Linked DNA regions of Danio rerio. The protein of the gene in region 3 interacts with the protein of the main gene of each other region in a pairwise test. Links are inferred from orthologs where the notes say so. Each region holds a gene or a part of one and is shown on either strand. Other genes may lie near its edges. The genes, in order: rabgef1, wwp2, rnf11b, stam2, smurf1, si:ch211-202a12.4 and rnf168.

What was found.
Region 1: the proteins of rnf11b (region 3) and rabgef1 interact in binary tests that used the Homo sapiens proteins (3 or more experiments, as listed by UniProt). The link is inferred for Danio rerio from reciprocal best matches to the Homo sapiens genes RNF11 and RABGEF1.
Region 2: the proteins of rnf11b (region 3) and wwp2 interact in binary tests that used the Homo sapiens proteins (3 or more experiments, as listed by UniProt). The link is inferred for Danio rerio from reciprocal best matches to the Homo sapiens genes RNF11 and WWP2.
Region 4: the proteins of rnf11b (region 3) and stam2 interact in binary tests that used the Homo sapiens proteins (3 or more experiments, as listed by UniProt). The link is inferred for Danio rerio from reciprocal best matches to the Homo sapiens genes RNF11 and STAM2.
Region 5: the proteins of rnf11b (region 3) and smurf1 interact in binary tests that used the Homo sapiens proteins (3 or more experiments, as listed by UniProt). The link is inferred for Danio rerio from reciprocal best matches to the Homo sapiens genes RNF11 and SMURF1.
Region 6: the proteins of rnf11b (region 3) and si:ch211-202a12.4 interact in a two-hybrid assay, tested with the Homo sapiens proteins (3 studies listed by BioGRID and IntAct, with this or other methods). The link is inferred for Danio rerio from reciprocal best matches to the Homo sapiens genes RNF11 and UBC.
Region 7: the proteins of rnf11b (region 3) and rnf168 interact in binary tests that used the Homo sapiens proteins (3 or more experiments, as listed by UniProt). The link is inferred for Danio rerio from reciprocal best matches to the Homo sapiens genes RNF11 and RNF168.

What each region holds. Positions count from the first base shown.
Region 1 is NC_133185.1:37,879,354-37,883,612, reverse strand, and holds the start of rabgef1 (rab5 GDP/GTP exchange factor), read left to right. Parts: upstream 1-1,459; 5' UTR 1,460-1,469; intron 1,470-4,259. UniProt on the Homo sapiens protein: Rab effector protein acting as linker between gamma-adaptin, RAB4A or RAB5A. Involved in endocytic membrane fusion and membrane trafficking of recycling endosomes. Stimulates nucleotide exchange on RAB5A. Can act as a ubiquitin ligase.
Region 2 is NC_133200.1:37,280,467-37,284,631, forward strand, and holds the start of wwp2 (NEDD4-like E3 ubiquitin-protein ligase WWP2), read left to right. Parts: upstream 1-1,365; 5' UTR 1,366-1,377; intron 1,378-1,956; 5' UTR 1,957-1,981; coding exon 1,982-2,051; intron 2,052-3,558; coding exon 3,559-3,715; intron 3,716-4,165. UniProt on the Homo sapiens protein: E3 ubiquitin-protein ligase which accepts ubiquitin from an E2 ubiquitin-conjugating enzyme in the form of a thioester and then directly transfers the ubiquitin to targeted substrates.
Region 3 is NC_133183.1:18,241,609-18,245,739, reverse strand, and holds the start of rnf11b (RING finger protein 11b), read left to right. Parts: upstream 1-1,331; 5' UTR 1,332-1,759; coding exon 1,760-1,882; intron 1,883-4,131. UniProt on the Homo sapiens protein: Essential component of a ubiquitin-editing protein complex, comprising also TNFAIP3, ITCH and TAX1BP1, that ensures the transient nature of inflammatory signaling pathways. Promotes the association of TNFAIP3 to RIPK1 after TNF stimulation.
Region 4 is NC_133184.1:39,775,757-39,778,412, forward strand, and holds the end of stam2 (signal transducing adapter molecule 2), read left to right. Parts: intron 1-647; coding exon 648-849; 3' UTR 850-2,156; downstream 2,157-2,656.
Region 5 is NC_133178.1:39,720,208-39,724,387, reverse strand, and holds the start of smurf1 (E3 ubiquitin-protein ligase SMURF1), read left to right. Parts: upstream 1-1,380; 5' UTR 1,381-1,598; coding exon 1,599-1,653; intron 1,654-4,180. UniProt on the Homo sapiens protein: E3 ubiquitin-protein ligase that acts as a negative regulator of BMP signaling pathway. Mediates ubiquitination and degradation of SMAD1 and SMAD5, 2 receptor-regulated SMADs specific for the BMP pathway.
Region 6 is NC_133180.1:42,862,212-42,866,399, forward strand, and holds the start of si:ch211-202a12.4 (polyubiquitin-C), read left to right. Parts: upstream 1-1,388; 5' UTR 1,389-1,454; intron 1,455-4,117; coding exon 4,118-4,188.
Region 7 is NC_133190.1:4,313,128-4,317,335, reverse strand, and holds the start of rnf168 (E3 ubiquitin-protein ligase rnf168), read left to right. Parts: upstream 1-1,408; 5' UTR 1,409-1,488; intron 1,489-4,208. UniProt on the Homo sapiens protein: E3 ubiquitin-protein ligase required for accumulation of repair proteins to sites of DNA damage. Acts with UBE2N/UBC13 to amplify the RNF8-dependent histone ubiquitination.

The DNA.
Region 1 (4,259 bases), on a different chromosome or scaffold from region 3:
TGTCACAGCCATGCTTCTGATAATCCTAACTGAGCTCAACTTTGTTGCTCAATCCGATGCATATTTGTTCTGTTGTACATTTGATGAAGACAGTTTGTATTGCATTATTGTACTGGCTCTTATTGTGCTGATAATAAACCATATATTTTGCAATCTATTAAAAGCATTTGCCACATATTTTGAACGCTATGAGATTGTAACTTTATAAAAAAAATTTAATGTTTTTGTAATAGTTTTTTTTCTTTCTTTTTTATTATTGGATTCAAAAACAGTCAATAATAGAGTGCAGAAACTTGGAACATTAGAAAAAAATGTTGTTACAATCTGTGTTATACAGATAAGAAAGAAGAAGAAAAAAAAAACTTTTTGACTTTTAAAAGACTTTTTGTTTTTTATGCTCATTAAAAACAAAATATATGACTTATAGTCAATTTAAAAAATAGCCAGAAAATGATTTCCCCCCAAAACTTTACACATAAATTTACAAAAAACTTACCCATTATAATAAAACGATTAACAATGTACTGAATGCAAGATTTAGAGTTGTAATAAAAAAATATTACGCCAAAAGTATTTAAACAAATATCAACATTTGTCTTTATATGGTTCGGTCCAAAATAATTTAACAATTACATTCACAAGAAAAATGCACAATGATTTCTTCCAAGTCACAAAATATACTTTTGTTTTTTTTAAATATCTTATGTACTAATTTTTTTGTCTTTCAAAAACAATTTAGGCCAAACTCAATCCAAACATAATTTTGCACAAACTGACTAAGACATATCAGATATACAGTGAATCAAATATAAAGCCATAAAATTTACACAAAACAAAAAACTTATACAAAATACCTTGCAGACATCACAAAGAAACCATGTAAGGGGTTAAATAAAACCATATTCTTGAAACATATCATACAAATGTCTAGCCTTCTCACCCTTCATTACTTTTTAAAGCTTCTACATGGGTGGCAAACTCCCCTTTAAAGGCAATCAATTGAGGAGCTGTTTTCAAAATTTTGCATTTATGAATGAAGAATTAAGGTAAAATAAGTAAACAAATTGCAGTTAGGTCATCCTCTTTGATGTCCAAATGTACTCCAAATTCCACAATAATTGTTCCAACAAATAGAGGGAAACATTGAAATATATAGTTTTACCCAGTTGTCTGTTTTCAATATCTTGCATATATTTACTCACCAAACTATTACAAGGATAGCATCTATTTGAAATTTTATATGTAATTTATTTTACTTTGTTATTTAGCAAATACTTATGTGGAAGATTCCAAGTAACGTCTCAATTAATGTTATATGTGGACAGCCATTTAAAAGAAGAAGCTGGAATTGTTTTATGGTTACGTTTTCGTGAATGTTGACATTTCGAGATCAGCCCAGCCAGTGTCCCTCCCTCACCAGTCGCCTGGATATGACGTCGTTGTGACCCGGAGAAGAGACCGCTGACGAGGTACACGTCCTCTGTATTAAGATTAAACACTGTATTTTGCCATTCATCTCTTAAATATGTTGTTTTGCCTATTTATAAACGGAAAGTTGCAGAGTTATGCCATATACTGCCAACCAAGAGTTGCGTTTGTTTTTAGCCACGTAGCTGTTTTGCTAGCTTGATGTGTTGACTGCCTGCGGCGGGTTGAATGACATTTTGTTATTTTCGGTAGATAAAATATGCCTTATAAGATTAGTTTCTGCCCGCATGTTAAAATAACCAGACAAATAATTAAGTTACCTCAATTTACTGGATTTAAATGTCAAATAAGACATACAATTCTTAAATCAATATAAGTCAATCCAATATTACGCTGAGTTTAGTGTCATCTAAGTTAACTTTAGCTAATCAAAGTTTGTCCTTAAAGTATTTATTCATTTAAACTATAATAGATGTTTAATTGTTTCATTTTCTTTTTGGTTTGTTCTACGCAATTGGTTGATTGACATCAGATTTATTAATCAAGTTACTAATTTATTTAAGAAATTATTGACTTTAGCTTAATATTAAATAATCAGTAAAACTATTTATTTCCCTCCCATTTACCTCTGAAATATCAATCTTAGTTTTAATATGGTAGTATGAATATCTCATTACTTTCATTTTCATTTGTCATGCTCTTTAAATGACTCATCTCGTTGGCAGCAATGTTGATATCTGTGGTTGCTCTGCAAGTATTGTCTGCAGAGCAAATTGTGTAATGTAACTCCTGTTGACTTGCTTCATGCATGTTTAGTTCACAATGCCAGTGTTCGCAATAGCTTCATTGTACATAACCTTCCAGAATAAACAACTGTGTCAAATTCAGTCGCCAAAGAGATTATAAAGTATAACAGGTTAGACTTTTCAAAAGGGACTCATTGTTAAATACTAGTTAATGCATTAAGTGTCATTATCAGTGAGTAATAGCTACATTTATGAACTAACAATTGGAATCAGAACATTTTCAATCAATCTCAGGCATGTCATAGGCCAGATTAAAGTGAATATATTTGCGTTTGGAAATAATGACCTGTTCAGTCTTCAGCATTTGGGCGCATTGATGAACATCGCAGTAAATACCACAATTTGAATTAGGGTTGCACGATATTGGGAAAACTGACAGTGTTTTGTTTTCCTGTGATATTAAGTTAATTTCACCGAATGAAATGAATAGCTCCATTTGAGAAAAAAAAATTAGATGTTTATCAGGATGACTTTGTAGGGAAGTGTATCTGCATAAAATATAATAAATCAATCACAATAATTGATAAAAACAGTAGAGCAATGATACACATGAAACACAATTGTTGTCTGGGAGACTAGCAGTGTTCAGGTGCAGAAAATGAATAAGCAAATGAAAACGACACTATTGTCTTAATTGTACATAAGCTCAATTCATCTTTCTTAAAGTTAAACACATTTTTTTGTGACTGAATATTTTAATCTCATTTGAAATGGTCATACAGTCTCAGACCTTAAAAAACTATACACTTTTAGGCAACTTTACCTTACAAATAATACAAATGAGAAAAGAAGTATCTTTTGTGTTTTGAGTTTTGCATGCACTAAGCACTTTATTTCCACTTTGTACTAATAAAATAAGATGGGACTGAAAGTATCTAGGCAAGTAATTATTAATATTTGGATATGATACTTCTGATGGACTATATAAACTTTGCAATCACTCCAATAATAACATGTATTCTCAACTGTTACTTGCTTCTGGTCAAATATAACCCTGACTGGACATTACAGATCTTGTGATGTTACTATTGTGGATACATAAATTGGGATATCAGTGCTGAAAAGATACATTGTGCAACCCTAAATTGAATATTCTTTTTTAAATAATTTTTTTATTTATTTATGTATTTATTTTTTTATTGACAGTTAACAAACAAAAGTAACAGAGAAAAAAATATATATATAAATTTATCAGTATAAAATTGATTAAAAGAATAAAAATGAACCACACTATAAGCCTAATATTGTGCAACAAACAGTATATGATGTGCATAAACAATATATGATGTGCATTCATTTAACAAATTAAACATACAAAAGTCAGTACCGAAAGTTGAGATTGGCAGCATGGTGTATTAGGTAAAATTAATAATGATAATAAAAGAAAAAAGAAAAAAAATTAAAAGAGCAAGAGAAAAGGGGATTAAACTGAATATGCTAGGGGGGTGGCACATTCTTTAAACTTGCGGTTTTATGTCTGGAAGAGTTTTATGCTTGTGCTACATCAGGACTAGTACTCATCTGGAAAGTACAGACTAAAAGAGCAAGATTTTCAACCATTCATTCGACAGTACCTGCTTCAAGTTTCAGAGATTTGACATGCTCCATGAATGGCAAATAAATGTTAGAAAACTTGATCACTGGACCTTGACTATATTTATTTTTTTCTAATTTAACAAAAATAAGGCATCTTTAATCTATTGAGTATGGTATGGGGGTTGAGGAGACCTCCACTGCTACAAAACACACCACCTAGCCAATAATGACAGAAAAGCTGCTAATTTAGAAAAATAAACGGGTAACTCACAGTAAGGGAGTAGAACTCCAAACAGGCCATCGGAAAAGGATACATTTGAACAGATGTCATTTCTGAAAATGAATCAAAAACAGACTTCCAAAAAGGAAACAAGGTCCAAAACGTGAACTAGATTTGCAGGTTCAGCCTGACATATGTCACAGTTTGGATCAATAGCTGGGAACATGCAACTCAGTTTACACTTAAACCAGTAAACTCTGTGGACTACT
Region 2 (4,165 bases), on a different chromosome or scaffold from region 3:
CAAGATTAAAAGATCCATGATCTGCCAAATCATCTTAGATCATTTAAGCGAGGTACGAAGAACGGACCTCTGGACTAGCGGAATTTCGGATGAATTTTAGTTTTAGTTCCGTATTGGCTTCCTGAGGGAGAGCGGGAGGTTGCCGCTTGATTACACCCGGTCCACGTACACTGATTGGCTCACAGCTGTTACTGTTTCCTGTTAATTTCCTGGACTATTTATACAACCATTTCACCTCTGTTTGTCACAGCGTCGTTTGTCTTCCTTGTCGTTCGTGGCCCCAGTTCTAGTAAGTCTTGCTACCGAGTTTTTTGATCTTGTTCTTGTATTTTTTTGCTAAAGTCTAACGTTAGTTTGTAAAGTTATTGTTTCTGAGCCTTGTCTCTGTTTTAGTTTCTAGTTTGGTCATTTGTTTGTTACTTTGTATTTTGATCACCTTGTTTGTTGCACTGTAAACAAATCTGCACTTGGATCCGCACCTTTTTGTTTTTGTTCCTGTTTTGATCACGCTAACGTGACAGTTTTTAAATTACTGTGAGGGTTGGGATAGGAATAGAGGGTAATAAAATCAAATTTAATTTGAAAATCAAATTCAATTTATCAGTCATTTATTAAATAACTATTTCTCCTTATGATTAGTGTTTTTACATTACTGTGAAGGTTTTGATAGTTGTAGACGTTAACGAAACACAATTTAACCAGTAATTGAATTATATTTCATCATAATGAATAATATTTATCGCTATAATTAGTGTTTTTACATTACTGTGAGGGTTGGTGTAGTAATAGACATTAATAAAATAAAATTTGAATAATTCAGTAAATAGAGTATTTCTCCTTATAGCTAATTACTGTTTTTACATTACTGTGAGGGTTTTGATAGTTGTAGACATTTAATAAAACACAATTTAATCAGTAATTGGATTATTTCATCATAATGACTTTTTTTATAATACTGTGAGGGATGGGAAAGAAATAGACGTTAATAAAATAAAATTTAATAATTCAGTAAATAATTTGAGTACTTCTCCTCCTTATAATTACTGTTTTACATTACTGTGAAGGTTTTGATAGTTGTAGATGTTAATAAAGCACAATTTGATCAGTAATTGAATAATTCACATAATTATTTCACCATATAATTTGTGTTTTTACATTACTATGAACGTTTTGATAGCTGTAGACGTTAATAAAACACAATTCAATCAGTAATTTAATAAATAACACCATTATTACTCCGCCGCAGCTGTATCCCTTCTAGCAGCAACCTGATGCTACAGAGGATCCGCACCCATGATCCTCCACGGCGAGTCACATGACCATGACATTAAAGCGGAAATGACAGTTAGCGCTCCACAGTCTCACGGCGAATAAAAGGTAGGAATCAAAACATTTCCGATGTGTTTTTATAACCAGAAAGACGGTTACACTACGTATAAACCTATCCGCGTTTATAACGCGCTTTTCCAGGACGATTTCAACTACACCGCGACTTTTTATTCCTGAATGACGAGCGGCTAATCAAACAGCGTCACTGTCTCTCACATCATGCGACATTTAACCACACATTACGACCGGTCACGATTATTAATTCACCTCATATGTTTTTAATTCTGGGTGGACACATATGGTTGGTTATAACCAGCTGTAAACAGCAATTTAGGCTAAATTCTTGGTTTGTTTTTGTCTCAGCTAAACCAGAACCTGCTATATGAAGCTGACAGACGTCGAATATCGCTGTATTATATTATTAAACCAATCACTGTAGCTTATTTAATCTATTTAGGTGATTTCTGTTATTAATTTGATGTTGATTTAACAGTATTAAGCTGTGTGTGTGTGTGTGGTGCACCAGAGTGTTTATGTTGCGTCAGAGTGTTTATGTTGTGCTTTATTATACCCCAATGATTAATATTCAGCATTTCAGTCATAATTCTGATGCTGTTTGTGATTCAGGGCTGTGATGTGATGTGCTGTGACGATGGCAGCTGCCAGTGTGTCTCAGTCTGCCAGCATTCAGGCCATAGAGAAATCACAGCTGACCTTGAAAGGTAAGAAAAGCTGATTTATTTGTGATTAATCTGCTTTAACTTGATTAATAAGGAGATCTGATGAATCTTTTGTGGTTTATCAGCTGCTGTGACGCATCAGTCTGCAGCATCAGACCTCAGCATGTGTTTTTGCAGTGAGCTTTGTGTCCTCTAGAGGGTGATGTGCGCTGAATAATAACTGCATAACTGTGTGTGTGTGTGAGAGATGCTGGATCATGTCAGGACACATTTGCGCACATTTCCTGGTTGATGGAATATTCCTTACGGGAATCCAGATCATAAATGTTTCTGGTGAATTGATGGAGTTGTGCATTCTTGGCGCTTATTAATGTGTCGTAAGTCTGCCTAAAGGGATAGTTCACCCCAAAAGTAAAAGTTTCCTGTTAGTTTACTCACCCACAGACATCTTTGATGGTCTTTGGCGACTCTTTTTACTCATTAAAGAAGACTTTTTCGCTGAATCTGACTCTTGGTGATTTTTATATAATGGCAGTGAATGGTGACTGGTTTTGGAGATTAAAAATGAACACTTACAAACAATTCTAAATCAATAACCGTGGCTCCTGAAGACACGCTGAGGTCTTGTGAAGCAAAGTGATCAATCAGTGTAAGAAATTAAACATTATTTATAAGATTGCTATTATTAACTTTGATCCACAGCCTGGTCAAACAGATATCGGCGCATGTCTGAATGTAGTCCGACTGTTGTCTGTTTGTAATGAGCGGACTACATTCACATGTGCATCGAGACCTGTTTAACCAGACTGTGTCAGGTTTTTGTCCTTAAACTGCTCCTTTTAGTTCTTTACGCTCTTCCAAATCCGTACCAGATCTCATCCAAAGCCTTCTGTTGTGTTTTGATGTGATTTTTGACCATCGTAGCTGTGAGATGAAATGGCTGCTATCATTCAGCGTAGTGATACAGAGCCGTAATTAGGTTGCAGATTATTAAAATGTCTATTTCAGAGGTCGCCACAAAATGAACCCCCAGTTTCAGCATATGTTTTACGCAGTGGATGCCCTTCCAGCTGCAACCCAGTATTGGGAAACACCCATACACTCATTCACACACACTCGTACACTAAGGCCAATTCGGTTCATTCAGTTCCCCTATTGCGGATGTGTATGGGGGAAACAGGAGCACCCGAAGGAAACTAATGCCAACTGACCCAGCTGGGTCTCGAACCAGCGACCTTCTTGCTGTGAGGCCCCAGTGCTAACCACTGAGCCACTGTGCTGCCCTTTTTAATTAATGTTTATGATTGTTTTGTTGATTTCCAACACTAACTGTATTGCACCCAAAACCTGCCGGAAGCACTTTAGCTGTGTGTTTATTTGAAAATAACCGCACACCTCAGAATGCTCATTAGCCAATGAGAATCAAGCATTCAAAATCCCTGGAGTATATGTTATATTTAAGTCTTAAAACTTCGTGTTCCCTCAATGTTCTCTTTCTCACTGAAGTTGTTTTGATTGAAGTGTTCATCGTCTTCTCCTCATCTGCTAGTGTTGTCTGCGAAGCCTCAGTCTCCTAAACTGCCCAATCGTCACTCTCGCCTGAGTTCATTTGTGGAAGTGACCGCCGACGGCCTGAGCAGCGAGACCAAGAAAACGGGCAAACGCAGCGGACACCTCGAGCTGCAGTGGAATGAAGACCTCACACTGTAAGCCTTCACGCGTCACTTTTCATTGAAGAATATAATATTTAAGAAGTGCCATGAAAACTGATTAATTCATCATCATGATGATCATTTTAATAACTCATTTCTAATAATGGATTTATTTTATCTTTGCCATGATGAGAGTAATTAATATTTGACTAGATATTTTTCAAGACACTTCTATACAGCTTAAAGTGACATTTAAAGGCTTAACTAGGTTAATTAGGGTAACTAGGCGAGTTTGGGTAATTTGGAAAATTATTGTATAACGATGGTTTGTTCTGTAGACTATCACGAAAAAAATTAGCTTAAAAGGGCTAATTTTGTTCCTAAAATGGTGTTTAAAAAAAATTAAAACTGGATTTATTCTAGCCGAAATAAAACATAAGACTTTCTCCAGAAGAAAAAATATTATTAGACATACTGTGAAAATTTCCTTGCTCTGTTAAACAA
Region 3 (4,131 bases):
TTTTGTCTTTTTTTTTTTTTGCCAAATATGTGAGAACATGCAAACTCAACACAGAAATGCCAACTGACTTTCTTTTTTGAGCTTTAAGGGGGCTTTTTTAAAGAGTTTACCCAGAAATTAGTTAAAGAGTTATAGTCTTGACAGTAATTAGTCGCTTTCAATTTGATAAAGTGTCAACTAAAAATAGTACCATTCAGAGTGAAATAAAATGTTATAAAACATCTATATCCACCAATTATTCTTATTCCTCTGAAGTTAAAACATTGGAATGGTATTGTCTAAATAAAATATATAAACACATACAGTTAAAGTCAGAATTTAGATTTTTTTTTCTTTTTTTAAATTTTTCTGAAATTATGTTTAACAGAGCAAGTAGATTTTAACAGTATGTCTGATAATATTTTTTCTTCTGGTAAAAATCTTATTTGTTTTATTTAGACTAGAATAAAAGCAGTTTTTAGTTTTTTAAAAACCATTTTAAGGTCATAATTACTGGCCCTTTTAAGCTATTTTTTTTTTTTGATAGTCTACAGAACAAACCATCGTTATACAATAACTTGCCTAATTAACCTATCCTGCCTAGTTAACCTAATTAACCTAGTTAAGCCTTTAAATGTCACTTTAATCTGAATACTAGTTTCTTGAAAAATATCTAGTAAAACATTATTTACGGTCATCATTATACTGTCATGTTATTAAAGATAAGTTATTAAAACTATCGTGTTTAGAAATGTTGAAAAAAACTCTGATAAACAGAAATTGGGGGAAAATATACATAAGGGGGCTAGTAATTCTGACATGGCATATCTGTAATTTTGAACGATTGTCATTGTATGCTCTGAATGACAACATGTTTATTTTACATTTAAGAAATTTCAGTAAAAATCACTGAAACAATCAGTAGCTAGCAGGAAAAAAAAACGGAAACTGAGAAATACGAATTCCCATATGGTATTTAAACAAGAAAAGCAATGAAGATATGAAAGACGACCCCTTTTTCTCCGGATTAACTTGGATGGATTTTTACCTCCGAATTGCACTTTAATCATCATGACATCGATTTGGTTATAATGTAGTAGTCACTCAGTTTAGTTATTCCTCCAATCTGTTCTTCAGGGGAAAGGGGAAAGTCGTGCGTTTTATTTTTCAAACTGACAATTTTACAATTGAAGTGAACTATGCCTTTAAATCGGCCTAATGCGGTCAAGTTTAAAGGCTTTAAACCCCTGTTGTTGGTGTTGTAAGTCTGCAATCTAATTGGGTGACGAGTATCCACTAATAGCGCCCTTACTACTGAAGACGCCTACTGATTGGTGGATTCTGTGCGGAGGCGGGACTTAGAATGACTGCCTGAAAGGCAACATTGCCTGAGTCGCCATTGAGAGCGAGCGCATATTTGATATTGTGGAAATTATCTCCTGGAAGGCTAACCAGTGTGTTTACTATTAAGACGAAGAGAAAGGGACAGCATTACATAAAGAGGCTTTAAATCAAAAAGACGTGTTTCACAGGTTTAGACTGTGTGAATTTATACAAACATCGTTTCATATCCGCGTATGACACTTTTTCCAGGCTTCTTTGTGTCGACAATGGTTTGTTTTTCTCCGTCAGGATCTCTCATGGTGATCGGATCGTTGTAAATGAATGATAGAGGGTTTTGTCGTCCTGTTTAAAGGGACAGAAGTCTGGTTGGAGTGATTAAGGGCGGAAGGGATAGGAAGGATTTCAACATTTAGACAACAAGGAGTTTGGAAAGGAGATGGGGAATTGTCTGAAATCTCCCACTTCGGATGATATCTCCTTGCTCCACGAATCCCAGTCAGACAGGGCCAGTTTCGGTGACGCCAACGATCCAGATCAGGAACCGCCACCTCCGTATCAGGTAAGCTTATAAAAACCATTAGAATACACAAAGAAACTTTGCTTTTGACTAATATAACGTGCCTTGTGTCCACCCTCCTGCTTCAATCATAACATGAACACTCGCAATTCATAATATCAAGCAAATAGACGTAAATATATCACCAACAGCAAGCTCCCGCAGGAGCTCCATCTGTTTAATTTCGCCCTAGAGTGTGTGCCATACTAAATCCTCTTTGTTCGACGTAAACTTGGCCTGCAGTTCACGTCAGACCATCCAGACAGATGGACAGTCTGTTATTTCATCTTTACTGCCGCCTCCGTGGCGTGTTGATTCACCAGCAGCAGCTTTATTGCGATAAAGGTAACCATTCTGGTTGTGACGATTCTTGTTTGCAGTTGTGACGTCATGTCGATGTTATTCTCCTTGCTCGAGTGTTACACAAACCTTTTAAAATATTCTGTTTTCTTCTCTTCACAGACTGTAAGGGCAAACTATATGTATTTAATTTAAATATTACTAATACTGATGTTGTACACATACACAATGTTACTACCTCACTATATATATATTTTTGCAAACTTCCGGGAAGAGAGCTTAAAAATGCTTATAATATGACAATGGGCTGCTCTACATTGTCCTTTAGTCAGAAGTGTTGGGAAGCCTTGCACTCGGGGATTTCCCCATTTTACGGACATGTGGAATCAGTTGAGGTCTAAGTCATGAGATCATGATATTTTAAAGTGATGTCATGCTTTACAAAACATAGTTCAAATGGAAGAACTGGGTTGGCCAGGGTCTTTTTGTTGGATGAAACAAACCATGTCGAAGCAGATAAACTTGTGTAGCACCGTAAGTGAACGTTTTATGTCCAGTCACTGTGTTTTGTAAGAAGCAACATGACTCAGAAGATGTCTGATCTGAAATGTTTGCAACTGTGGTGGCTGTTACATCCTCTTGTTGTGTTGACCTTATCTGTTTTACAAGAACTCTCCAACAAACTGATTGAGGTAAAATTGGTTTAATATTTAGACATTCAGACTTTCGCATTAATAATATAATTTCTGAAAATTAGTCTTTGCAAATCCTAAATAGTGAAATTATATTAGCAGCCAATGACTATTGAAGTACAACATTGTTCAGAGTCAAATAAGTAGTGATAATGTTGTTTAAAGTCATACTTGCGTGTGATTTCAGACCCAATGTTCAAAGTACCATAGTAAACATTATAAGAAGTGTGTCACAAGTAAGTTGTCACTGAAATAATGTGCAAATACAAAACCAACTTTACATTTATAACAAATAATAGTGAGCCGTTGACCGAAGCACAGATAATCTTGTATGCATCTTGAAAGCACACACAGTAATTTCCTCACAACTGATGTGACATAATATAATCTTATTAAGCAAAAGGAACATTCTCTTCAGTCTTAGTTTCAGTTTTTTTCAGCTGAAGGTGGGACGTTAAGTGCTGGACTACTTTCATTTATCAGTTGTGCTAACATTGTTGTCCAATTCATACATTCAAAACATGATTCAAAAATACACATATCCAATTTGTAAGTTTGAAACACGGTTCAGGCGAAGCAGTGGCGCAGAAGGGAGTGCTGTCGCCTCACAGCAAGAAGGTTGCTGGGTCGCTGGTTTGAGCCTCGGCTCCGTTTCTGTGTGGAGTTTGCATGTTCTCCCTGCGTTCGCGTGGGTTTCCTCCGGGTGCTCCGGTTTCCCCCACAGTCCAAAGACATGCGGTACAGGTGAATTGGGTAGTCTAAATTGTCCGTAGTGTATGAGTGTGTGTGTGTGAATGTGTGTGTGGATGTTTCCCAGAGATGGGTTGTGGCTGGAAGGGTATCCGAGGCGTAAAAACTTGCTGGATAAGTTGGCGATTCATTCTGCTGTGCGACCCCAGATTAATAAAGGGACTAAGCCGACAAGAAAGAAATGAAACACGGTTTAAAAATACACAATATATGAATTCCAAATATGATTTAAAAATACACTAATCCAACTCATACATTTGCAACATGATGTAAAAATACACAAATCCAATTCGTAAGTTAGAAACTTAGTTTAAGAATACACAATTCATACATTCGAAACATGATTCAAAAACACATGTCCAATTTGTAAGTTTGAAACACGGTTCAAAAATACACAATATATGAATTCCAAATACGATTTAAAAACACACAAATCCAATTTGTAAATTCAAAACATGATTTAAAAATACACTAATCCAATTCATACATTTGAAACACGATTAAAAAATA
Region 4 (2,656 bases), on a different chromosome or scaffold from region 3:
AATTATGAGTCATAACCTACCAATTGACTTTGTGTGTTGATTTGCATTATAACAAAGTTTTCACCTGCATTTAGGAAGTTATGGGTAGGAACTATAGTCTCACTCTGGTGTAATAATCAAGACATTTGCTGCCATGCAGCCGGCACAATGATATTACACAGTGCTGTTACCTAGTTATCTAGCTGGGGACTATTTTCAAGTGCTGTGTAATATTATTGTACCTACAGCAAAGTTCCTTGATTATTATGCTGGAATATGAGTATAGTTCCTAGTTATTTCGACCTAGAAAATAGCAACTTTTAATTTTCCATTGGTCTTCGTACATGATTGAACTCCACAAAAGTCAAGTTTACATTGGAAAATTTACCGAAATTCAAGTCTTTTTTTTTTAACATGATGCTAATGGTCTAATCCAATTAAATGATTTATGCTAAGCTAAGCTAAAAGTGCTCTTGCCAGATACAGATTTCAACTAAAGTGATTTAAAAATAGTAAAACTCAATTGTTTAGCTCTATTTGACTTGTAAAATCCAACTATTTCCAAAAACAGTGGAGTGTTCCTTTATTAAAACACTAGAGAACTGGTCAGTTCTATGATTCTGAATGTGGTAAAACCTCAATAACCACTTATTGTTTATTTATTACAGTGGCCCAATGAATGCACCATATGTAAACCAAGCCCCTGGAGGCCCCACCCCTTACCCGCCACAGATGGGTGTGGCTATGGACATGTCAGCCTATCAGAACGCTAATCCTGGTCTGCCTCCCACCTCCTATCCAATGTCAGCTCCGGCCCAACCTGCCCCTCAGCAGCAACAAGCGGCTTTCTACCAGCAGCCCCTTTTATAAGGCTACATGTTTGACTATTCAGCCATAAATTTCCAAGTTTAAATTCCAAACGTTGAAATGAGGCCGAGGGTATTTTTCCTCTCTCATGCATATTGATGTCAAGGGGTATGCAAAGATTTACTGACATATGGCGTCAGCGGACAGACATGTAATCCTCTCGAAAATGCATTTATTTTTTTCCCCTCCCATTTACTAACTCATGAAGCGGTTTAGGGCTGTTGATGGAATCGGTCACAATAATCATAGACAGCATTTTCACCATCTTGTGATAAACACCAGCATATGTGACTCTTTCTCTGATTGCGAATTAAGATATAATGGTAAAGTGCGTACATCTTTAAGACTTTTGATTAATTGTTGCCATTTTTCCTTTGTTTCTGGGTCAGCCAATCCTAAACTTTAATTTCTTGCTCTTCGATAGCAAATGTGAGAGTTTTATAAATAAATATCACCATGCATTATGGAGAGGACAAATGTGTGAAGAAGATTATACGTGATCACCAAATCTGGAATGAATTTCTGTGCCAATACACAGAGCACTTGTGTAAACTCCTACAATCAGAACGACGGTTTTAGAGTTCGATGTTTCATGTAATATTTCATCAATTGCTTTGGTTAAGAACTGACGGTGGTCACAAATGCAATCCCTTTATGGTCAATCCATATGTTTCGCTGTATAATGATATTTATGATATGCAAGTACTGCTTGTGTTTGCATTGTGGGTGTTTGCTGTTGTTTGACTTAATTTAAGCGTGTAAAAATGCATACGGTGTAATTCATCTGGTCTACAATTTTATTCAGCCCGGAAATGAATTAATTGTCGTTTTCCGATTCTTACGTATGTGCTTTCTCACCCATTTCTTCTTGCCTGAAATGGGAAAATGTTTGATTCCTTTATAGTCCATATAGTCAGCTTTCATTCTCATTCATTTTGGATTAATGTAGTAAAATATAAATAAAAAATGTCTCTTTTCATAAACAGATGTTGTATATTAGATGTTAAATATCTGGCTGTACCGCACCTTAACTTTATAAACATTTATTTACCACCAGATGCCTTGTTCTTTCACGAAACAAAAATAAATGTAGAAACCAATGCGGAGAACTTATTTCAGGAGCTGCTGTATATTTGTAAACCTGTATGTTTAAGAGATTTAGAGGGAAAAACTATTGTACTCATGGACTCAATGTTTTGTAACATCAAGATTTCTTTATATCCTGCCTGCTCTTTTTTTTTCTCAAATTCTTTTTGTAACACGGTGAACTCTTATAGTCTTCAGAAAATAAAAACTACCTGTGTTTCAAAGGTTGCTTTTTGTATTGATTCAATTCGGAGATGCATTATTTATGCATTTTTATTATATACAGTTAAAGTCAGAATTATTAGCCCCCCTGAATTATTAGCCTCCCTCCCCGTTTATTTTTCCCCAATTTCTGTTTTAACGGAGAGATTTTTTTCCAACACATTTCATAATAGTTTTAATAACTCATTTCTAATAACTAATTTATTTTATCTTTGCCATGATGACAGTAAATAATATTTTACTAGATATTTTTCACTACACTTCTATACAGCTTAAAGTGACATTTAAAGGCTTAACTAGGTCAATTAGGTTAACTAAGCAGGTTATAATAGTTAGGCAGGTTATTGTATAATGAAAGTTTGTTCTGTAGACTATTGAAAAAAATATATAGCTTAAAGGGGCTAATAATAAAACCAAAAGACTTTCTCCAAAAGAAAAAATGTTATCAGATATACTGTGAAAATGTCCTTGCTCTGTTAAACATCATTTTGGAAATATTTGA
Region 5 (4,180 bases), on a different chromosome or scaffold from region 3:
ACCTTACATAATTAAACTGATCAGTCAATACATTCTAATGTTTACATTTATGTCAATGTTTCATCTTCAGATGTACCTCATTAAGCCACGTTGCATCCCACACAATGAACTGATTTAATTAATTGCATTAATATGTATTTGTTTCCATTTTAATGAGTCTTCAGATCAAATACATTTCATTATTATGCCAAGAGTACAATGGCTCTCTGCTCATTAAAGTGGTGACGGATTGAAAAAGGCCAGTGTGTGGCCTGCCACCCTCATTAGCCTGCTGTTTACGTGGATTGGCTTTTCTTCTGCACAACACTATTAAATGGCTCTATTGTTTCCAGTTGCTAAAGTCCTCCAATCCAATCCCTTCCACTATTGCTCAGGCTAACCTTATTTGCTTCTACAACGCGACAATTATCAAGCCGCAATTAATGCAATCACAATCATGCAAATGTAATGGAAATCATCTGCATCCATCATCTCATTATTTATTACTCAAACTCAAAACAACAACCTCTAATGCTAATCAGGTCACTTAAAATGTTATGGATGCTGCGAAAATGACAAACAAATTCATCAATCTGCCCCAGATCCATGCAGTCATCTATCTATCTATCTATCTATCTATCTATCTATCTATCTATCTATCTATCTATCTATCTATCTATCTATCTATCTATCTATCTATCTATCTATCTATCTATCTATCTATCTATCTCTACATTTATCCATCCATCCATCCTTTCATCCATCCTTTCATCCATCCATCCATCCATCCATCCATCCATCCATCCATCCATCCATCTATGCATCTATCCATCCATCCATGCATCTATTCATCCATCCATGCATCTATCTATCTATCTATCTATCTATCTATCTATCTATCTATCTATCTATCTATCTATCTATCTATCTATCTATCTATCTATCTATCTATCTATCTATCTATCTATCTATCTATCTATCTATCTATCTATCTATCCATCCATCCATATCTATCTATCTATCTATCTATCTATCTATCTATCTATCTATCTATCTATCTATCTATCTATCTATCTATCTATCTATCTATCTATCTATCTATCTATCTATCTATCTATCTATCCTGTATTTATTTTATTAATAAATCCTTTTTATTGTTGTTTAGATCTATCTAATCTTAATAACATTTGGTCTACTTAAAAAATACATCAATTCACTTCAGCTGACGTGGCTGGAAAAACACGCAAAGCACGAAATTTCATAGCATAATTCGAAATCAGGACACACATGACTAATATCCTTTTTTACATCACACAACACAAACGGACTTCCAGCGCCAGGAAGAAGAGCGCGCGCACGCCCAGCCGCGGGTACGTGCACGTACAGCTGTACTAACGTGATGTCAGAACGCCGTTGAGCTCAAAAAATGTTAGCCTGTGTTGTTAAGTCTGAAAGCTACAGGGGATTTGCCAGACGGAAATAATACCGTTTTATCGCCGAGAAACACATGCACAGGCCACACGATCGCGTCGCGTGTTTTTATACGTTTTTATATCCTCGTGAAGCGAGCGTCTTGGGTTTATCCTGAGAGAAAGTTCGTTGGTTTTTTTGTGGGAGTGATGTCGAATCCTGGGACTCGAAGGAACGGGTCAAGCATCAAAATCCGACTGACAGGTAAAACACCCTCTAATACGCTAATTTATCGCTTTAATGTACTAATTTGTTGTTAGTTATCATTTTATACGTTTGGTTAGCTTATAACTGTGTGTCGGTCGCAAATGTGTGTAAAACGCTAAGCGAGGATCCTGCTAGCTTCTGCTGAGGCGAGTTGCTGCAGCCCTGTCTCTTCATGCTAAACGCATGCTAACACGAGAAGCATCCCTTTTTTATTTAATAAACAGCACAATAGTCAGTGGACCTGCTTTATTTGCACTTGTGTGAACGTTATCAGCCGAAAGCAGCTCCCCGTGCACAGTTTGTTAGGTTGGATTAGTCATAAATCAGCTGAGTATAAACCGGATGAGGCAGAGGCAGCTGTTTTCTCGGTTTCCCCTCATCTGGACGCCAGTGTCTTCGTTGTAAATTAAGATTTTAATACGTGACAGACTGTTCATTAATGTTTTGCTTATTGCGCTGTGCTTGCTTTCGGAAGTAAGCTAACTATGGGGTTGATCTTTATGTGATAGTGTACTGTTTCACAATCCACAGATGGGTTTTTTGGGGGAGGATTTTTTTCCTTACTCTTTTGAAACCGCTCTTTGCTTGGAAACGAACAGGATATGATAGATGCATACTGATCTCATTGATATCATCACAGACATAGTGACAGTGCCCTGGAGGAGTGCTTTTACAGTTGCCTTTTTATTTTTTTAAACCAGATCTGATGTTGACTTATCAGTGCCCTTTAAAGCGTTTGTGGAATAGGAAGACTGGTAAACGCCAAATGACAAGGTTATGTGGTTTGCATTTTATTATAGACTCAGTAGAGACCAGATTAAACGTTTTATTCTTTATTCTTGTATATTAGATTTTAAAAGTGAAGTTTCATTTGTAAATGTTAATGCCCTTCATTTATATTGAGCAGTGTGTTTGTTACAGTGGTTTGTTGATTTTGGATGTAGTAATGATGTGTACCCTTTGTGAAGCTGCTTTATTATTATAATTATTAACGAAGTAAACTTGAATTGAACCGTTTTTATCTTTTGTTTACAGAGTACAACAGTTCATTGTCAATGTTAGCTCAGAGACAGCTTTAAAATATACAACTTTTGCAGTAGTTTGGTAAATGCTGAAATGAACGTTAATGCTCTGCTGCGGTTCAGTCATTTATTTTCATATTTGTCTTCATAATGGTATGAAAAACTAAACGTTTTGGCACATTACCATTAACACAAACACACAACAAAAGGAAACAAGCAAAAATGTGATTATCATGATAAGAAAGTGTTTTTAAAATGCAAATGCTTGTGGTGTTTTAGTCAAATATAACCACATCAGATATAAATTATAAATGAAGAAAGTTTATTTCACATTAGATGATATCTTTCATGATATAGTTTTATTATGAGGGTAGTTATTCCAGAGAATTTACTAAAAGGTGTGCAATAAATAAGCTTTGTGAAATAACTAAGCTTAAATATTTAAGGAAAGAAGATGACTCAATCTTGTTAGATTATTTTTGTATTTTATTTTAACTTTACTATAAATATTGTAAACCAAATATAACTTTTAATGAACGAATTACACTCTCACATTTTCACAGTTTTATGTGGACAGACCTTATTATTATAAACATTTCACACATCATCTTCTGATACAAAACTATCCTATGGAAAAAAAAAAAACTTTATCCCTATAACTGCCTGCTCTACCACACGGTTGACCATCTTTTTACTGTTTTAAATAATCACCGTTAAAGTCATTTTAAAGAGAGTTTTAAAGAATGGTTAACACAATACAGCATTGTTGGTTTACAAAGAAAAAAAGAAAATCCTGTCGCACCACTTCGGCATACATCAAAAAAATTCATGTGGTATTCAAAAATGTTTATTTTTTTATATTTTAAAATATAAAATAGTCTTAGACTTTATACTTTCATATTTTTCATAGCATATGAATTAATTTCTGTAGTTTTACTATAAATTAACATTTCTACCATTTTTGTACATGTTAATATTGTAGAAATTATGGGATTATGGTAAGTTTATGGGGGAAAAAATTGATTTAGTGTTTTAACTAGCGACATTACGAGTTAAGAAATGCAATCCAAAAATATTTTTCTTGGTGGGCGGTTAAAAGGTTAAGGAAATATCAAACTGTTTTTTTTTTATTCCTTTAAAAATGCAAAATAAAAACAATTCAAGAGTTCAGATGCTAAAACCTCTATGCGCTGTCTGAAATGTCCATCAAAAATAAACTTTTATTTTTCAACCTCCTTTGTTTATGTTGAATTATTTTACTTTAAAGACCATAAAAATGACTTATTTGCTATAAATGTGTTTATTACTAAACTTACACACAGGAGCCTGAAAAAAATTCTCAGTTTGAAAGAAAATTTCAGATGGCATTTTCTAGGTTCTTGCATTTGAACTCCTCAATTACAATTCATGGATAAATACTGAAACTAAGTGATCAGTTCTCGTTGAAAAAATTAAGCGATTGGCAACACTGCCAGTCTCCCATGTAGTGTCTTTCTTGGCCT
Region 6 (4,188 bases), on a different chromosome or scaffold from region 3:
GTGCAGTATTTATGGGTTAAATATATTCTAACCATGTGTAACTGATAGGAGAGACATGGGCATTCTAAACGAGATACATTGCTCTCTGAAGGGCACTTCGTAGTGATAAAATTATGGCCGCCATATTGAAGTGTCATTCAAACTGAAGTGATCAAAAGCCCCCCTAGGAATAAATGAGTTTGAAAAATAAAACCGATGAACATTTTGGGAAATTATCCTTTGAGCAGGGAAGCTGCTTGGTGTCAATTATCATTTAATTATACTTTGGTGGGAAATTATCTTTTGAGCAGGAAAGCTGTGTGGTTTTCCACACTACACTCAATTCGAAAGGACTCATCCCTATGCGCTAATCTCTTTAGAGGAACCCTCTGAAGGGATTAGGGCATAGGAATGAGCCCTTCAGATTGGAATCCATCATGTATTTTTTTTTGTTGGTGGTTGAGAAAGTGCATTTCTGCCACCTATAGGACTGGAGTATGAAACTTGGTTGGGGGCTTAAAAAACTGTAACCACTTTTAAACCTAATTTTCCAGTCCGGAGACATTCAACAATCCAGATGACACCTTAATGATCTCTTTAATGTGGTAATTCTAATGTGTGATTAACACTTTACTCAGATTTCTTTCAGTTATTTTTCAGAATAATTCTATTTATTCTCTCTTGAATTATGTAATTTGTTATTAAGCATTTTTATGACAGTAACTTGTTTAATTTTTTACACAAACTTTTTTGCGCTGTATGACCAATGTATAATCTTGCAATTATCACATTTTTATTGTTTGCTCTGTTTTCCACGCAAATGTATCCTTATAAATGTTTTTTTTTTTGTTCTCCCATTCTTCTGCCTGCTCACTTTACTCAGCTGTACCCTGAAGTTAATATCAGGGTTCATTATTACCATACACAATCAGTTTCTTTTAAGCAACCAAAACATCCACTGGAACCCACGCAACTAACTATAATTCATATTTTATAATGCTGTATAATCTCTGGTCCTGTAATACGATGTATCTTTCCAGACTGTTCTATTTTTGTTTATACAGTATGTCAGTTCTTCTCTTTGCCTGGTCTTGTCTGAATCACCAATAGCAAAGCGAACAAACACTAAACCAGCCAATCACTGCCTGCAGGTTGTCCTACAAGTCCAGCCCATTCCAGCACATTGTGGAAACTTCCTTTATGGGTAATTTATGATTAAATTATACGTTTCAAATATTGATACATAACTTGTATTTATTTTTAAAAAATCAAATAATTCCATAGTTTTAACATTTATTTTAATTTTTCAAACGAAAAAAAGGTTTTGACTACTAAAAGACCCGCTCACGTGACATGAGAACGTCACGCTGTTGGGTTTGTATAAAAACAGTTTCACTCGCTTCATCGGCTGATTTTTCTGCGAAGAAGAGAAGAACTTATTCACTTTCAGAAGCAGTTTCAGCGATATTTATAAGGTAAGAAAGCTATTCCAGTTCGATTTAGAACCTTCATAAAGACCTTTAGGTATACTATTATTGATATTTCGTCATTCCTGTTTATTGTATTGATTTTGGCGCTCATATCCTCGACATCCTAACTAAATGTAAAGAAGTAATTTTACAGTCCTTAATGCTTTGACTAGAGTAATACTCATACGATGTTATTTTCCCAAATTGATACGTTTGCTTTTTAATTGTTAAATTGTTCAATGTCGCAGTTTGTCAGATTAAATTATGCTGAGTCATGGCGCTGTATGAACAAAGAACCCGGATATTACTGTACAGCGGCCATGTTTGTTGTTGCGCATTACCGTTTTTAAATGATGACATTGTGCAATTTTTTAATTATGTAACTTATTGTTTTATGTAATTTAGGAGGTAATGTTAACATAAATAACTATTTCGATATAGTGTATGAATGAAATTACAAGTTCATAACTCAACTTTTATTATATTTCTAAAAAACAAACATTTTTAATATGTAGGACCAGACGGAATCTGCGGGCGTTTTTTGCTATTTTTGCGTAGAATTTTGCTAAAAATCTGCGGATTTCTGCGGAATTATTTTGGGAGTATCATAACTAAAACCTTAATATATGAATTTAAAAATAATATCTTTTAAACTTTCATTTAATGTTTAAAATGCAAATCCAATTAGATTCACTTTATTTGGTAAACAAAGCAAGTCTAATATAATGTATCTACTAAAAGACAAAGAATCACTGTACAAACTGCATCGTATATAAATCAGATGAACATTTTCATACAAGTCAATAATATTACTGTTATTAAAAAGTAAATAAATATAGATTTACCCACATTTACTCTAGTAAATAAATAGAATTAATCATGGACTTAAATTTGCGGAATTTTGAGTGCACAGATATAGATAGATAGATAGATAGATAGATAGATAGATAGATAGATAGATATAACCCCCGTTTCAATTTTAACTATTTTCTGTAAAGCTGATTCTGGGTTAATGTAGAGTAGCTTTTACAAGGCATGCATGTCCACGTAATGATTTCTATTACCTAGGAGACACCCTTAAGTTATTGTCTCAGGTAAGAGGAAATCACCCCTACAGGGTTGTGCTCTATAGAAAAACTTAAGCTTGAAGCATCTGGATTGATATTGGCATAAAATAAAGATTTTAATAATTTGCTAATATGCTAATAATAATTTGTCACAATGTGACAATGTCCTTGTTCAAACTGTTAGGGTAACTAACATTTACTCTATTCTTCCAGTTAAACAGGCACTTTCATGTAATTTGATAAATTAACATGTTGTAAATCCAGCATCCCTCCACTAACATGGTGGCACCCATGATCATTATTAATCTGTGAAATGGAAATGGATGCGTTTGTATCATAATATTCATTTATCAGAATATGATATTTTCTAATATATTTAGGATGTTAACCAATGTTTGCATAAAATGACAAAATAAGTGAGAAAATTATATACATAAATCTTCAGGGCTGCAATGTCACATGATAAACTTGATGCATCGTCATGGAAGTCTCAAAGTGAGAAGTTTTAAATTATCGTCAGATTAATAAAACATTTAGTGGGGGTCAGAGAAAGATTTAGAACTTGTGTTTGTGAAAGGATGAGCTAAAATCATTCTGTATTGTAATAGATGTGCTAACACATTAGCCCTGCCCTGAATTAAGCCTATGCTCTCAGATTGACAGATACTATATGTGGTAGGAGGGTTGCACGGTTTACCGGTACTATGGTAGCATCACGATACTGTGGCTTCAAAATACTGGCAGTGCCACTGTAGTTTGTAAACGGTAGTATCTTCATTACCGGTCTATCTATATTATGTAGTGTTGCTTGTGAAAGTGATTAATGCTCACACATATGTGCATCAATAGACCATTTTATTTGAATAGTCTGTGGAGCCCCTTAAGGTTGCATGTTTTTTAACATTTCAAACGCACACCTGAAGCGGTTCATTCTGTTTCTGGCAATGTGATTTAATAGCTACAGCAACCGCAGCAATCTCTTAAAAACAACTTAATGTCTTAAAAAAATATTTTTAATTACTTTGGATTGTTCCCTGATAAGGCTGAAAAAATAAAAAAATAAATGGAAAAACCCAAAATAGTAATATTTGAACAACTTTTGACCACTTATATTTTTCATCACTTTCATAATTTTTTTTTTAAAAATGCTCTTTTCGTAACAAATTCCATTTTGTTTATTTGTATCTTTATTCTAATGTATTTTTTGTTGATCAGTTATCTACAAAATAAACAAAGTATAAATAAATTTTAGGTGAAATAGTGTGCAAATAATACTTATTTCTTTAATTGAAATTAAATTCATTTAATCATCATTCATTTAATGAAACTCAAGTAGACCTATTATAACATATAAAATATAGTATTTATGACAATTTTCCTTATAATTTGAGTTATGAATTACAGTATGGCATTACTATATGGTATCGTGATACTTCAGCTGGTATAGTATTATAACGTGAATTAATGGTATCGCGACAACTCTAACATGTGGTGTTCCAAAAAGATTTCTTTTTGAAGATTTAAGGTAAAATCTTAGATCAGTCGTATAAATCTGTACAAATTTTAGTCATTGCTAATCTTCTTTTGATAATTTGTTTACAGATGCAGATCTTTGTCAAGACCCTTACTGGTAAGACCATCACCCTTGAGGTCGAGCCAAGTGACACCATTGA
Region 7 (4,208 bases), on a different chromosome or scaffold from region 3:
TAAGTATTGCTTGTTGGGTATTTTAAATTGAGAAGCAATTCGTTTTATTTGATTTTTTTATATATGTTTACTGTTGCTCTAAAGTCCACAAGTAAAGAATTTAAGTTATTACTTGGATGTTCAAGCTACCTCACAGAAGTGCTCTGTTTGTTAACAGAGTTGTTGAATGTTAAAATAAGGTGAATTAAATAAAAAATAAGGAACATCCTTGATCTGCTTCTTCACTTCTTTATTCTTTTTTAAAGTATTTATTATGTGTTTTTGGATAGGGTTTTGGTATCGGTAGATAGCCTACTATTAATCAAATGACTCGGACTTGAGGGCAAAAACCCTAATCGGGACATCCCTACAAAATATGATGGAAAATTATGTTGTATATAACTTATAAAAATTGTGGGCCGCAAGACTCCCTGGGGCCCTAAGCGACTGCTTACCTTGCTTACTGGTTATATCTGCATCTGTTGACATGGTCCTTATATCGTTTACCATTGTACTTTGAATATTTGGTTAAAAACAGCATGCATGACTTCAAAACAACAAGCACTTTTTAATTGGTCATGAACAATGTTGTATTTAGATATTCATTGGCTGCTAATATGAATTATTTATTTAGAATCTCTAACGAATACCTGTCTGAAAAGGAGAATGTGCAAATGTAAAATGAATTTTACCTCAAATTCGACCAGCCTGGTTTTACAGGGGTTTACAGGATCTGGTCTTAGTTGGTCAGGCTGGAAGACTAGCCAAAACCAGCTACGTCGTCCAGCTTAAAGCAGGCTGGTAAAGCTGGTTTTAGCTGTTCATTCCAGGCCAGAGATGGCTATAACCACCCTAAAACCAACTAACCAAGCTAGTTTAAACAAACAAAAACAAAAAAAAAATTCAGCAGGGAAATGTGGCCTTACGCAATGTAGCCTTAAGAAATTCTTTAATAATATTAAAGAAAAATAAGATTAGTGTTTGAAATACTACCTATAATTACAATCAAAATTTAAATCAGCTCGTTTATATTGTCTGCGTTTCATGCTGTTATAAAGTTTTTTTTAATACTTTTTATACTACTGAAACTTTTAATATATGGCTGTAAAACGTTTTTAATCTTTCAGGTAATGCGTCATGAAGCCATACCAAATACGGAGCGAAGGCTTGTTATTATTTAACCATTTATTGTATGTTCTTCTACCGGCTGTATTGTATGTTTTTTTTTATTGAATGCTTGAAAAACAATAACAACAAATGTCATGAATCAAACAGCAACAATCCAGGGGTCTTTAGTCATTTAGTCCAAGATGAGTGTCAAGTCCTTAATCAAAGTCCTCAAACAAGGTTGGCTGTATTGTATGTTCTTCTACTGATCTAATCCAAATGAAACAGCAGTGCTTTTATTTTGAAACACTGTCTTGTCGTTGCCGCCCATGGTTTCACACGCGCGGGCAGTAGGGCGCAAAATATTCCCGGGATTTTGTGGCCTTGTGAGCAAGAAAGCGCGTAAGTGTGTAAGATGTAAAATTTCTAATTGATCACATTACAAAACCATTCATTAAACTACGTATTGTACTAACAAAAGCAATCCTTCAGTTTAGCCTCACCGTCATCTCTACAGAAACAGCAGTTTGGTCACTGCTAGAAAGTTGCTAACTTGCTAGCCGTCCGATTAGAATTTGTGTTATAACTTGAAAAAAAATTAACTTAAGATGTAAACTGATGATATAAATTACCTTAATATATCAAAGGCACGTCGTTTGGTCAAAACTGCAGAGTTTAACGTTAATGACACGTTAATCATGTCTGAGAACTGTCAACTAGTCGATGTAAACATTAAAATCACATCAGATTTGACGTAATTATATTAATTATGCCAGTAATATGAATGTGTTCGTTGAAAAAAATGTAATTGCTAGTTTAACTAGTTTACTGTCTAGTTAACTAGTTCATAACTAACTACCTTACTGTTTAATACTTAGGTTTACATAATTTTTTTATGAAAACTGTTTAAATGTTTGAGTATTCATTAGGTTTATTACAATTTTCAATCTCTATATTCATTTCATAAAACATGTGTGGGTCAAAAATAAGACTTCCGCTTATTGCTGTTGGCATCAAGTTATATTTAAAAAGGACTTTTATGTGTAAAAGCATTTTAAATAATGGCAAAGTATTAACTGAGTTATTTCAAATAACTTTAAAGACAAAAAAATATATAAATTTGTATTAAAAATCGTCATTCAGCGTAATGGATATGTTTATGTAAAAATGTAAAACTTCTGATCTGTAATAGTGAAAATACAGAAAAAAAAAACTCATAGTATTTGAAAACATTAAAAACTTACTGACAAATGGGTTGATCCTGGTGATATGAAATATAATTTTTGGAATTTTGTTTGTTTGTTGATTACTTTTTACTTTGTTTTTTAAATTCTTGTCACGCTGAATGACATTTTAGTGGGTTTTGTATATAAATGTTAAAAATATTGTGTCCATACATATTAATTAAAAAATAATTAATTTAATTAGTCACAATCTGAAGTAGGGCTGCACAGTATTTAGAGTTATATATCTTTTTTTAAAATTTAATTACCTCAGGAAATTATCTATTACCTGCTTATTTTAGTATGACCAGACCATAACCTAAATAAATATATATTTTAATTGCTGATAAAATAAAATTTTGCAAGCTAGTTTAGGCCTGTCACAATAATCACTATATTGACTTACTGCACAATACATGGACATGACCTCAATCATATTTGTTGATGCGATATATATTGCCCATACATAAAAGTCAAGCAACATTTCTAGCTGATTGTGCGATTTCTCCATCTCTATTGGAGGTGTCAGTGTTGGTATGGTAAACACTATAGTATTTACTATAAATTACTTTTGTATACTTCCATGGGTGCCTGATGATCAGGGCCAGACGGAATCTGCGGACGTTTTTTGCTATCTCTGCGGAGAATTTTGGTAAAAATCTGTGAATTTCAGCGGAATTGTTTTGAGAGTATCGTAACTAAAACCTTAATTAGTTAAATAAAAAGTAATACCTTTTTAACTTTTATTTAATGTTTAAATTGCAAATCTAATTAGATTCACTTTATTTGGTAAACAAAGCAAGTCTCTCATATATAATATATCTACTAGATATAATATATCTACTAAAAGACAGAAAATATTACTTTACAGACTGTATTGTACATAAATCAAATGAACATTTTCATATTAGTCAATAATATTACTGTAATTAGTTTAAAAAAAAAATTAGATTTACACACATTTACTTAAGTAAATAAACAGACTTAATGATGGGCTAAAAATCTACAGAAATCTGTGGAATTCCGCGAAAAATCTGCGGAATTCTGCGCGCGCAGATTCCGTGTGGGCCTACTGATGACTGAAAATAGATGCTTCTTTTTTCTAGATCTTTCTACCTTGCAATTTTTTTTCTTAACATCTATTATTATTATTTATTTGTTTAGAATATTCAGTTTCACATTCTGATTCAATGCCTAATTACTAAATTGTTAAAATGACTATATTTAAATGAAATATCCTTGAGAATAAAATGAGTGTACGTGCATTGTGATGATATTACAGTGTCAAAATGGTCTAAACGTCACAATACTATTGTTTATCATATAAATGTTGGTGCTATATATCGTACCATACACACACACACAAAAATATTGTGACAGACATAAGCTAGTTATAATATGAAAAATATCTCAATACGATATCACATATTATAGTATCGTGCAGCTCTAATCTGAAGTGTGAAAAAGAAACTAAATTTAAATATATATTAAACTCATTTTTGAGCTAAATTACATATTTTTACCATGTGAAACCTGCTGTACCTTGACAGTCTGTGAAGTATTGTAATTCATTTCTAAATACAGAGTTTATCAAGCTCATCCAATTTCATGGCTCGCAAAACTGCTAGCCACATGTCCAGAGGCTATTATGTTTTTCAGTCGGGCTACCAAAAATAAATCTACCCTGCTCAAATGTTAATGTGCGGACAAGTGCAGCCTATTTTAATTCTTTTGCATTTTTACAAATTGGTTAATTATGTTGTATGTAGTTTTCATTTTATCGAGGAACCGATATCAATATATTTCAACTGGTGTCAAAAAAGTGGTGCTAAGTTTATAAAAAATAAAACAAAGTTTTAAAAAGCCTCACATCATTTTTTTTCAGTGTCAATAAAAACA